2 linked regions of the Schizosaccharomyces pombe genome follow. The protein of the gene in region 2 purifies or fractionates together with the protein of the main gene of each other region. This does not show direct contact. Each region holds a gene or a part of one and is shown on either strand. Other genes may lie near its edges. The genes, in order: tel2 and rvb2.

Region 1 (5,495 bases), on a different chromosome or scaffold from region 2:
GGAATTGGATCCACAGTGCGAGGAGTCAAAGTTCGTGGCTTCAAAATTTTACTAGAAGTATTTCCGGTTGAAACGGCATTTGTAGTAGAAGATTCGACGGGAACATGAAACACCTTTAATAAGTTTTCACAGGCAAGAATCTCTTCCGTAAAGGCAGGAATACTAGCCTCTTCTAACTTGCGTTGAGCAGCAATTCTTCTCTTCTCCTTCTCACGATTTTCACGCTCAAGACGAAACTGTTCTTGTCTTTTGGCACGTTGTTCACGTTCATAAGTACGGAATGCGCGCAATTGGGTATCGTACTCACGTTGTAAAGCTCTTCGTTGATTATATAGATCATCGAGTGCAGTCTTCTCATCATCTCTTTCTGCTATGAGCTTACGCTGATCTTTATAGTAACCGTCTTGTTGCTTACGAACCTCATCAAGCTCAGAACGGATTTCTACGAACTTGTCACTCAACTTCTTTGATTCTGAATCATTAAGTTGATCACGAAGCTCGTTAAGTTCATTTCTAATCGTATCAATACTAGTTTGAAGAGCGTTCAACTCAACGAAGCTCTTTCTAGTACGATTGCACTGAGAAATTTCACGCAGGTATTTCTTCTCATCAACAATCTTTAAAGTTCCTGAGTCAACGGCGGCTTGAAGTTGTTTAACATGTTTATCAAGCTCCACTTCTGACTTGAAAGGAACAGTTTTTTTCATGGCAGTCAACTCCTTAACCTAAAAGTATGTCAGTAAACATTTTGTTTCTTTACCAAGCTCATAAAGTTTTCCAACACAAAACTTTAGTGCTTACATATATTAATGCAAAACATACCTTCTTTTTCAAAAGTTCATCTTGAGCCTTGACTTTGTTGATGAGAGTTTGCTTAGAAGAACGGATAGCTGCTTGAGCATTGCGAATATTGTCTAATTCAGCGCGAAGTTCTGCATTCTTCTCCTGCAATGAACCACCACCGCGAATGGCACCAAGCTTCTCCTTATGCTCATTCTAGTTGATTAGTTAAGATGCGAAAACTATATAAGAAACAAGTGATTTTTTGAAGCTTTCATAGTTATGAAAAAAAAAAAAAGCTTAGCCTTCAATATTCAAGAATTTAAAACTACTTACGAAACGCTTTTTCGCCTCGTTGATCTTAGCATCAAGCTCCTCCAAAGCCTCCTTGTGAAGAGCTTCATTAGGACGAACGGGTTTATGAGATGACATTTTTATTAAGGATTTTGTTGTTGGTGGTGGATAGTGGTGTGTGTTGAGTTGTCGTTTAACGAGTATATAACAAGGCAGATAAACTCCGTTTGTTTTGCTTCCCTAGAGTTTTCGTTCGCAGTGCTGTGAAGGAGACTACCTGTTTCTGAAATTTTTATAAATAGCTTTTTGTTGACGGTTATTCAGACATCGTGTGAAGAGCAGTCTAAGGAAAAGATTACGATAATACATGTTATGATATTTTTTTTTTATTTATTTAAATAAACTGGTAGTTTTTTGCACTCGTCCACGTATTATGTTTAATATTTCAATTTAAAAATCCTGAATTGTAAATTTAGTGACCTTTATTTGCAATGTGTTGACTTGAACGAAACAAGAAAAATTAATGCATTTTTTCTCACGGATTAGCTTACCGATTAGCGGAGCATTAACATTTAATTTGGGAGGTACACAAAAACAGTTTTAAACTAAAAGTTACTTGCTTTTTAAAAGCAAATAGAAATATTGCAACTAGTCTTATAAAGCAACAGGATACTTCACTTATAGAAAGCGAATTTGAAAGCATAACTATCCATTCTTTTGTTACAACTATTGCATATAAGCACAAAATGTCTTTAAGTTAAATTATACATAATATCCTTTTTCTGTCACGTAAATTGTAAGTTCCTATTCAATTTCAGGCTGTGAAAAGTCCGTGAAAATAATACATCGAAGAGCTTTACAGGTTTCACAGAATATCCCGATGCTACCCATGTAATTGTTGCATACACCATTCTCAGGAAGTTTAAGAGCACAATTTAAAAAACTATATGAATTGAGTTCAAATTACCTTTATAGAATGAAAAACAATTAATAGAATTTAAAGTAATTTACATGGACAACAAATTAAAAATAACTATATACTTTGTAAAGAGTTTTGGTGTTGTTTTAGCCAAGCAGCCTATAATCCTGCATATTGCTGATTGCTGACCGGTGAATTAATCCACCGAAGGTTACTGTCTTCTCAACACCCCAAAATAATTCGGTTATTTTTCAACTCCAAGGATATGAAATCCTTTGCTAGCGAACTATCCAAACCTATTCAAAAGCCGCGTTTAAAAGAAATCCTTAAAGAACTGCAGCATATAGGTGTTCCTTCTCCTTGCAATCTAAGATTATATCATGAGTTAATTAGTGTGATAGTGCCCACATTCTGGAATGGGAAAATTAATTCAGAAATAGATTTTCTCCTTGCAAAATGTTTTTCTACTCTTTTGGGCTTAAAACTGCTATGTGTTCGACTAGATAATTTTGTTCAAGAGGCTAATTTGCAAAACATTCATCTTGTTACAGTTTATCTTGAGCTACTGGAAAAAGCATTTGAATGTATAGACCTTGACGATAACTGTAAATTGATATGGGAATCTACTGTATTATCTGATCATCAAAAGCAATCTTTGTGGACTGAATTTATTTTTTTCTTGGGAAACTTTAAAATTACTAATTCAATGTCTGCTGCAATGCTTACCTTCAAGGTTTACGATGATTCAAAACGTTTGAAGGCTTCATCAATGGCCGACTACATTGGCGTTTTATCTTCAAAATTGGCTTGCATTATATCTAAACCTGCTGTTAAAACCCCAGAAATATATTCAAAGCTATTCCATTATTTATTACACTCATCCAATTTAAAGGCATTCATTAACCCATTGATTCCATTAACACAAAAATTTTGTGTTCAGCTACAAAAATTATTTGCAGATTTGACGGTCTCTGATCAAATGTTGTTTCTCAATCAACTTCTTCTTGAACATAATACCAAATATCCCACCAATTTTTCATATTCCACCGCAAGAGATGATCGTATAACAGGTTCATTGGCTACATTATTAAGGCTGAACTTTTCATCCACTCACTTCCTTCGATTAATTGAATTTTATTGGGGCGTCCCTACAAATTTAATAATTAAAAGGGTAGAAGTAGTTTGTTCGAGTATATCTTATAAGGAATCTGATAAAAAGGAGCTAGAAAAAACAGTGGACTCTCTGTTTAATATATGGTCAAATGCGCAATTTTTGAGGAGCTATACGCTGCTAGCTCAAGAGAGCTTAACAATATATTTATTACTATTTATTCCGAAACTTGAAGCAAAATATTTGAATAATCTTTCCAAATCCCTAATGTTCTCCAATGCAATATCTTGCCGTTTAGATAGTCTAGATGATGATATTCGAATGCATGGAATGATAATGGCCGAAGTAATCTCTACATATTCGGGTGTCAGCTTAAGTAACCCGTTAGCCTTTGACGTTCCAATAATGAAGACTACGAAAGCAAAAGTTCTCAAATCGTTGAGCTCACTCAAGGATGAATTTTTGCCTATTGAAATTTTGAATGACGAAAGTGTTATCGCAGAGACTTCGATAGAAAAGGAAGAGACGAATGTAACTCACTTGGAGAAGCCAGTGATTTCTAAAAACGATGACTTAATAAGGGGAGATGACTTGGAGCCTTACGATTTTCCTGATATTGACAGTGAGGACACGGACGACGATCCAACTGTCTCTAGATCCAAGACGCATTCTCCTGTGTACGTACAAGATTTGTGCAAAATGTTAAAAGACACAGAAAGTTTTGAGAAACAACGTGTTGCACTGGAAAACGCTTCTAAGTTAATAAAACGAAAGTCTGCTTTTGGAACCGAATTACGAGATCATGCAGATGAATTGTTACAAACGTTAATTTCCTTACAAAATCGATTTGACTTAATGAACTTTGATGAAATGCAAATGACTGCTATAGTGGAACTTCTGTTAACCTGTTTAGATATATGTGGTCCTGTTATTTGTACAAATTTATTTGTTAGTGACTATTCAATGCGCCAAAAAATACTTATCTTATCTTGTATTTCTTTAGCTGCTAGCAAATTCAACGATGATGATAATGAACGTCTTTTTCCCAGCCAGTTACTTCCAGGAAATTTACACGATCAGTTTTATTCACCCACTATTGAAAAGATTAGTGATGAATTAGAAAGGAAATTAGTTTTTCCGGTAATGAGTGAATGCAAGGATTATGCGGAGGGACCGAAATTCTTACAGACACGGTATATTTCAAAGCAGTCGGAAATCGAGTCGAAAAAGCCACTCCCAAAGGCCAATCGATTATCGCTTAAGGTAGATAAATCATTGTTCCTGCTCCTCACCAGTGGTTATATGCTGGCATCTAGGAAAACGGCTTTTATTGAGCCTTTGTTTTTAGTCTACTATCTTAAGACATTGGGTATTCTCTTTTTTGAAACTTTTACCTCAAAGATAGAAGGGGCAAACAGAATGCTCCGGGAATATGTTGACGTTTTAAATGAGGTCTGCCGACTTCGATCAGACACTCCAGAAGTTAATGAAGGGCTTTTGTTTAGTTTTTTGGCTATCTTAGAAATATCTTCTGGGCGTACTTTAGCTAATGAGTTTGGGAAGCATTTGCTCTTCTTTGAGGCGTATACTAAGTTTCTTTTTGAAAGCCCTGATCAAGGTGAGAAAGTTAAGTCACTCTCAGCAGCTGTTTTAATTCTATTTGAAAATAAACTTTCAGAATTCAGAACGCTCGCATTGGAAAAATTACTGGATGACTCAGCTCCTTTGGTTCCAGAGCGATTTGGATTAGCCGGACTTTAATAGTTCTTTATGGTCATGATTTAAAAGAAAAAAAATATTATTTATGAGGTTGAAATTTTGACAGAAACTCATTAATGCATTTTAATTAAATAATATGATTTTGTAATAATAATGAATGTCTTTAGGCCAATTACAATTATTGAATTAAGTCCTTCCACAAACTTGATTTTATGGAGGATTTATTTAATTTGTTTGAAGAATACGTTTTAATCTCGCTATACTTGTTCTGTAGTTCTTGCAAAAAAACTTGGTGCGATTTGTAGGGTATATCTCCATCCGATATTTTTGAGGAATGACAGTTCAACATCGATATACTCTTATCAAATAAACCAAGTAATAAACTTATGTCAAGAGTATCGTAAAAATTTTTAGCGGTTTGTTTAAAAAGGGCGATATTAAATTCATGATTGACACTCTGTATTTTAGAGATAGTGTCCCAACAAGGAGGTATAAACATAGTTTCTGATTGAATTGTTTGAGCATGAAAATCTCGAGGTTTAAACTTTTGAAACATAAAATTATACTTCATTAAAACGTTGAGATTATTCCAGCTTGTTGGGTCCGCTGAGATAGAAACAATTGAGGACGTTGGTACGGATAAAAGTGTCGTTCGCAAAAACTGTAAAATAA
Region 2 (4,447 bases):
ATGAAGATATAGAAGGCCAAGAAGATACAAATCAGGCTAACGACCTCGACGCGGATGAAGAAGGCAGTGAGATATCAGTTCCCTCAAGCCCAAAACGAATGTCCTTTAACTTAAAAGAAGATATGGAGGAGGGTGATTTTGACGAAAATGGTAATTTCATACGAAAAAATTATGACCCAGAGTCTCAGTATGATGCATGGCTCAATGGCAGTGTTTCTAATAAAAAAAGCATTGCAGCAGCCAGAGAAGCGGAGCAGAAGCGTAAGGAAATGGAAAACAGAAGAAGGAATCAAGAATTGGAAGAATTTAGTAAACTGCCTTTTTCCACGGTTCCTGAAGCGTTATCGTTTTTTATCGCAAGAATGGAGAGAGATGAAAGTATTTTAGAATTTTTGCAGAGACAAAGTGGTAACAAAAAATCGTATAAGAAAAAGAAAAATAATACCGCAGAGGGCATTTCTCCTGAAAGGAAAAGTGCTGACGCTTTTCGGAAAAAATTAATAGAACTTATAACTGCTGGTCTAACTTTTCTAGAGGATAAAATTGGAAAGGAAGATATATACTCGGAAACTAGAGAATCTCTTCAAAGAATTTATCAAAAACTCACGTCAAATTCATGGTCTTCTCCTGTTAGTTACGACGACTCAAATTCTTCACAGTACAACTTTAAGTGGGAATTTGACGATAAGACGTACGGCCCTTATACCGCAAGCCAAATACAGGCTTGGAGTAATGAAGGTTATTTTACGGATGCCAAGCATGCAGCATTTATACAATTAGCAAATATGGATGAATGGATGTATCCTAACAATATCTGCTTTTGCGATGTAGTTTCTTTAAAGAAATAGTCAAAGTGGATAATAAACTATTTTATTTCATTATATAACAGAACTTATAGCTTGTACCTTTGAATTAACGGAAAACTATAATTCGATAAATAAGTCTAAATTAAACTTGTCTTGCAACCTTTATAAAGACTTGCTATTTAATACTTTCATATTCTTAACTATAACAAAATATTCGTCTTTAGTGCTTTTAATCTTCCTGCATTGCAACTGCATTATCTTGTGCACCTGAAGCCGACCACTCATTTTCGGTTATGTAATTCTTTCCGTATTCCTCTAAATATTCAACACTTCTTTTTTGATCCAAAAATAATTCGTAAACACGTCGGATATCGGACTCCTCAATCGTAGCACTTTTGCGCTTCAAAGCAACCTGATTAGATGAAGATATAAGAAGTAATGCGTAGCGAAGACTAGTCTCCTGACCAATAGTGGAAAGGTAATCTAAAGCTGAAGGCTCCATATCAACATCTTCTTCTTGACAGCGAATCTTCAAGATTTCTTTTACCTCTTCATGGGAATAGGGCAATGTAGAAATAATCAGCATACGATCTAACAAATCAACTGGAATGCCATGAGGGGAACGATAATTTGTACCTCGAATACGAGTAATTCCTCGATTAGAAGCCATAATAACGATAGGAGCTAGGTCATCTTCCAATGCGCGATTGAAAAAAGAAAAGCACTCAATATCTAGCATATGAACTTCATCAACGAAAAGTACACCAGGGACTATTTCGGCTTTTCCTTCTTCTCTCCACTCACTAACTTTGGTGTTAATTTGTTCACGTACTTCTGGTTTAATCTCACCAGTATCACCTGAGAACAAAGCTAAGAATCCTTGTGTACGTGAATTAATAACATCAATGTCATGTAAGGAGACGGTATGGACTACCTCCTTTCGTTTTTGAATTTCTCCTTGAGGACATTGAACAAACCGAGTGTCAGCTCCCATAGCATCATAATCCCTTGCCCTCGAGAATGAACGACCGAGCTTAGTAACTCTTCCCACTGACTTATCAATACTAATAACATCACCAGCTAAAACCTTTTCTTTTGTGAGGGAATCAATCATCTTTGTTCCTAAATCATAAACCGTTTCCATGTCGGTACTGCGAATTGTAAGCTTGCCTTGCTTATTACCGCCAGTAATAGACCGATCAATTTGAACTTCCACAACCTCTCCTTCAATAATTTCTGTCTCCTCCTTAATACGGACACCTATGCTTTTTCGCAAGGCTTGCAACAGGGCTTCTGTTTTCGACATTTCCAAAGAGTACACTTCACTTGCAGAAAGTGTTACAAATGGTGTGTCACTACCTAAAGATTGAGCCATTCCCATTGCAATAGCAGTTTTACCAGTTGAAGGGGGTCCAGCCATCAATATGGCTCTTCCAGCTATCCTGCCTTCTTGTATCATTTTGAGAATTACACCGGCAGCCCTGCGAGCCTTGACTTGCCCTACCATTCCTTGGCTTGACTCCTTCGGCTCTAAATTATCATTGAGACCTATTCCCTTAATATGGGAGTGTGCTCCGACTAAAAACAGTAAAGATTAGTTAACTCACTCAATTTTAAAGCATTTGAGTCCCCCCAATTTCAAAATATGCTAGAGGTCTATTTCTATTTTAAAAACATACTTCTTTCTAATTTGGAGACATCATTATGAGAAGTCACCGAAATCGACATGATTATGTTGTGTTTGGTTTTTTATTCAAGACTGCACAGTCATTCTCACATAGCAATCATTACCTTGCGTTGCGGTTGAGAGCATATGAACCATCGCTAACTTTCCTTATGTAAGAAACTGAGGATAAATAATTAATATTTTTGACTAAAACTGGTTCTTAAATGTATCTTTAATAACTTCTTTACAAAAAACAATCACATTTGTCATACAAGTATTCTGCGTTACTAAAAAAGGTAGCGCGTATTTTATCATGGTTAATGGCTACACTAATCAATGTCGAAGCTGAAAATTAATTTAGTCACCGATATGATTGAAACATTGTAAATTTTTAATATTATTCAAAAAACTTTTAAAACGAACGACTAAATCATAAATACAATAATGCAGCAAAAATGCATTTACATGCAAATTCTTATATCCTTATTCTAAGGAAGGAAAGAGAGAAAAATCATCGACATTTTCGACTTCATCACTCACATAAAGCTCATACGTATCTAGTGAAACTGAGAAATCCACTGCGTTTCGACGAGTAAGGTTTGCGCCAGCAATAGAAAATTCAGATTCTGAAGGCACAACTGATTGTGAACGATCAATCACTGTTAAACGATCGTCAATGTCAGAAGTCTCAAAAATGCTGGAGCGAGTTTCAAGAACGTCTTCTTCCAAATCTGCTACCGAGCTCCGTTCAACATCTTCAAATCCATTTTTACTTACAAGAGGATCAGATAAGTCAACAACAGATTCGTTAGTATTGCTGATCGACTCTAAATTCACGTTGACGTCTTCTACCGGAGTTGGTGCCACGTCAACAGATGAAGTCGGTTCAGAAGATTCTTCAGCAGCAATAGTCTTTATCGAGGTTGGTTCAACTGAAATTGGTGGAGTGAATTCTATGGGTTTTCCTGGTAACAACTTGGGTAAAACGAAGCGATCAAGTGAAGGTAATTCTGAATATTCATTCCAGTTAATAGGAACACCGTCATCATAAACGATATTAGGAGCTTTAAGGGCTGGATTATAATATGAACTCTCCCGCCGACCAGCAGCAGAAGAAGATGTTAATATACATTCATATGGTACCTCAACTACATCCGATTTTTCACATTCGAGGAGCAACATATGCTCACTAACCCTGTCTTCGAGAATCCTCCCCAAAAACAATTCTCCACGAGCGAACTGTGCAGGAACAGGAAGCCCTAAAATAGGAGGCGGATGCAAAGGATGTGATGATGGACGAGTATATAAAGGATCAAAATGAGAAAACTCTATGTTATCACCGTTTTCTTCTTTCTGTTTTTTTATATACTCTTCACGTGCCTTAGAATTCCAAATCAGTGACAAAGGAAGCGATCGGTTTTTGCGCTCTTCACCCACGTGAAGGGAAGATAATTCCTTTTCGGTAGTTGTAGTAGAATTAAAGTGTTCAGTAGATGCACTCTCATGATTAGACATTAAAGGAGATGGAGGATTAATAGAGTTAGGTGAGTCAAAATCTCGTTGAGAAAATGAATTATTATCAACACTTGAATGAATCGGATGAAAGTTACCACTATCATGGATGTTGGATTCGGGTAAATCATGCAAGTAAAACTCATCCAGGAACTTTTGAGAACAAGCACGTTGAGGCTTATGCGAATGTGGCCATAAAGATTTAGAGGAATAAAGGGATTCTGAAACCATAAGTCTTCGTAAATTAGAAAATTCATAGTTGGAAGCAGATCTTGGTGAACGAAAGACAAAACGTCGTAAAACAGCGTCTCCTAGACAAAATGCACTATGATGTGTGCCTGGAAAGGTTATAAGCAGTTCATCCTGTTTAAGGACTGTTGAATAAGTAACAATACCATTTTGTACTAGAGTTGAAGGGGGAAACAAAATATTCTGGTGAAGCAAAAAATCTGAACAACGCCAA

The links.
Region 1: the proteins of rvb2 (region 2) and tel2 purify together in Schizosaccharomyces pombe (affinity purification with western blotting; 2 studies listed by BioGRID, with this or other methods). This does not show direct contact.

Annotation. Positions count from the first base shown.
Region 1 is NC_003424.3:4,732,604-4,738,098, forward strand, and holds tel2 (TTT co-chaperone complex LRR repeat subunit Tel2), read left to right. Parts: upstream 1-2,217; 5' UTR 2,218-2,258; coding exon 2,259-4,865; 3' UTR 4,866-4,995; downstream 4,996-5,495. Other genes in the region: SPOM_SPAC458.02C (mRNP complex protein), read right to left, coding at 1-725, 823-996, 1,117-1,212; dli1 (meiotic dynein intermediate light chain Dli1/Dil1), read right to left, coding at 5,002-5,495. UniProt on the Schizosaccharomyces pombe protein: Component of the TORC1 and TORC2 complexes required for the regulation of the cellular respons to changes in available nutrients. Required for normal entry into S phase. Regulates activation of the DNA replication checkpoint.
Region 2 is NC_003423.3:1,522,094-1,526,540, reverse strand, and holds rvb2 (chaperone, AAA family ATPase Rvb2), read right to left. Parts: upstream 2,550-4,447; 5' UTR 2,535-2,549; coding exon 2,486-2,534; intron 2,385-2,485; coding exon 1,036-2,384; 3' UTR 849-1,035; downstream 1-848. Other genes in the region: U5 snRNP complex subunit LIN1, read left to right, coding at 1-848; Lid2 complex histone demethylase H3-K36 subunit Jmj3, read right to left, coding at 2,956-4,447. UniProt on the Schizosaccharomyces pombe protein: DNA helicase which participates in several chromatin remodeling complexes, including the SWR1 and the INO80 complexes.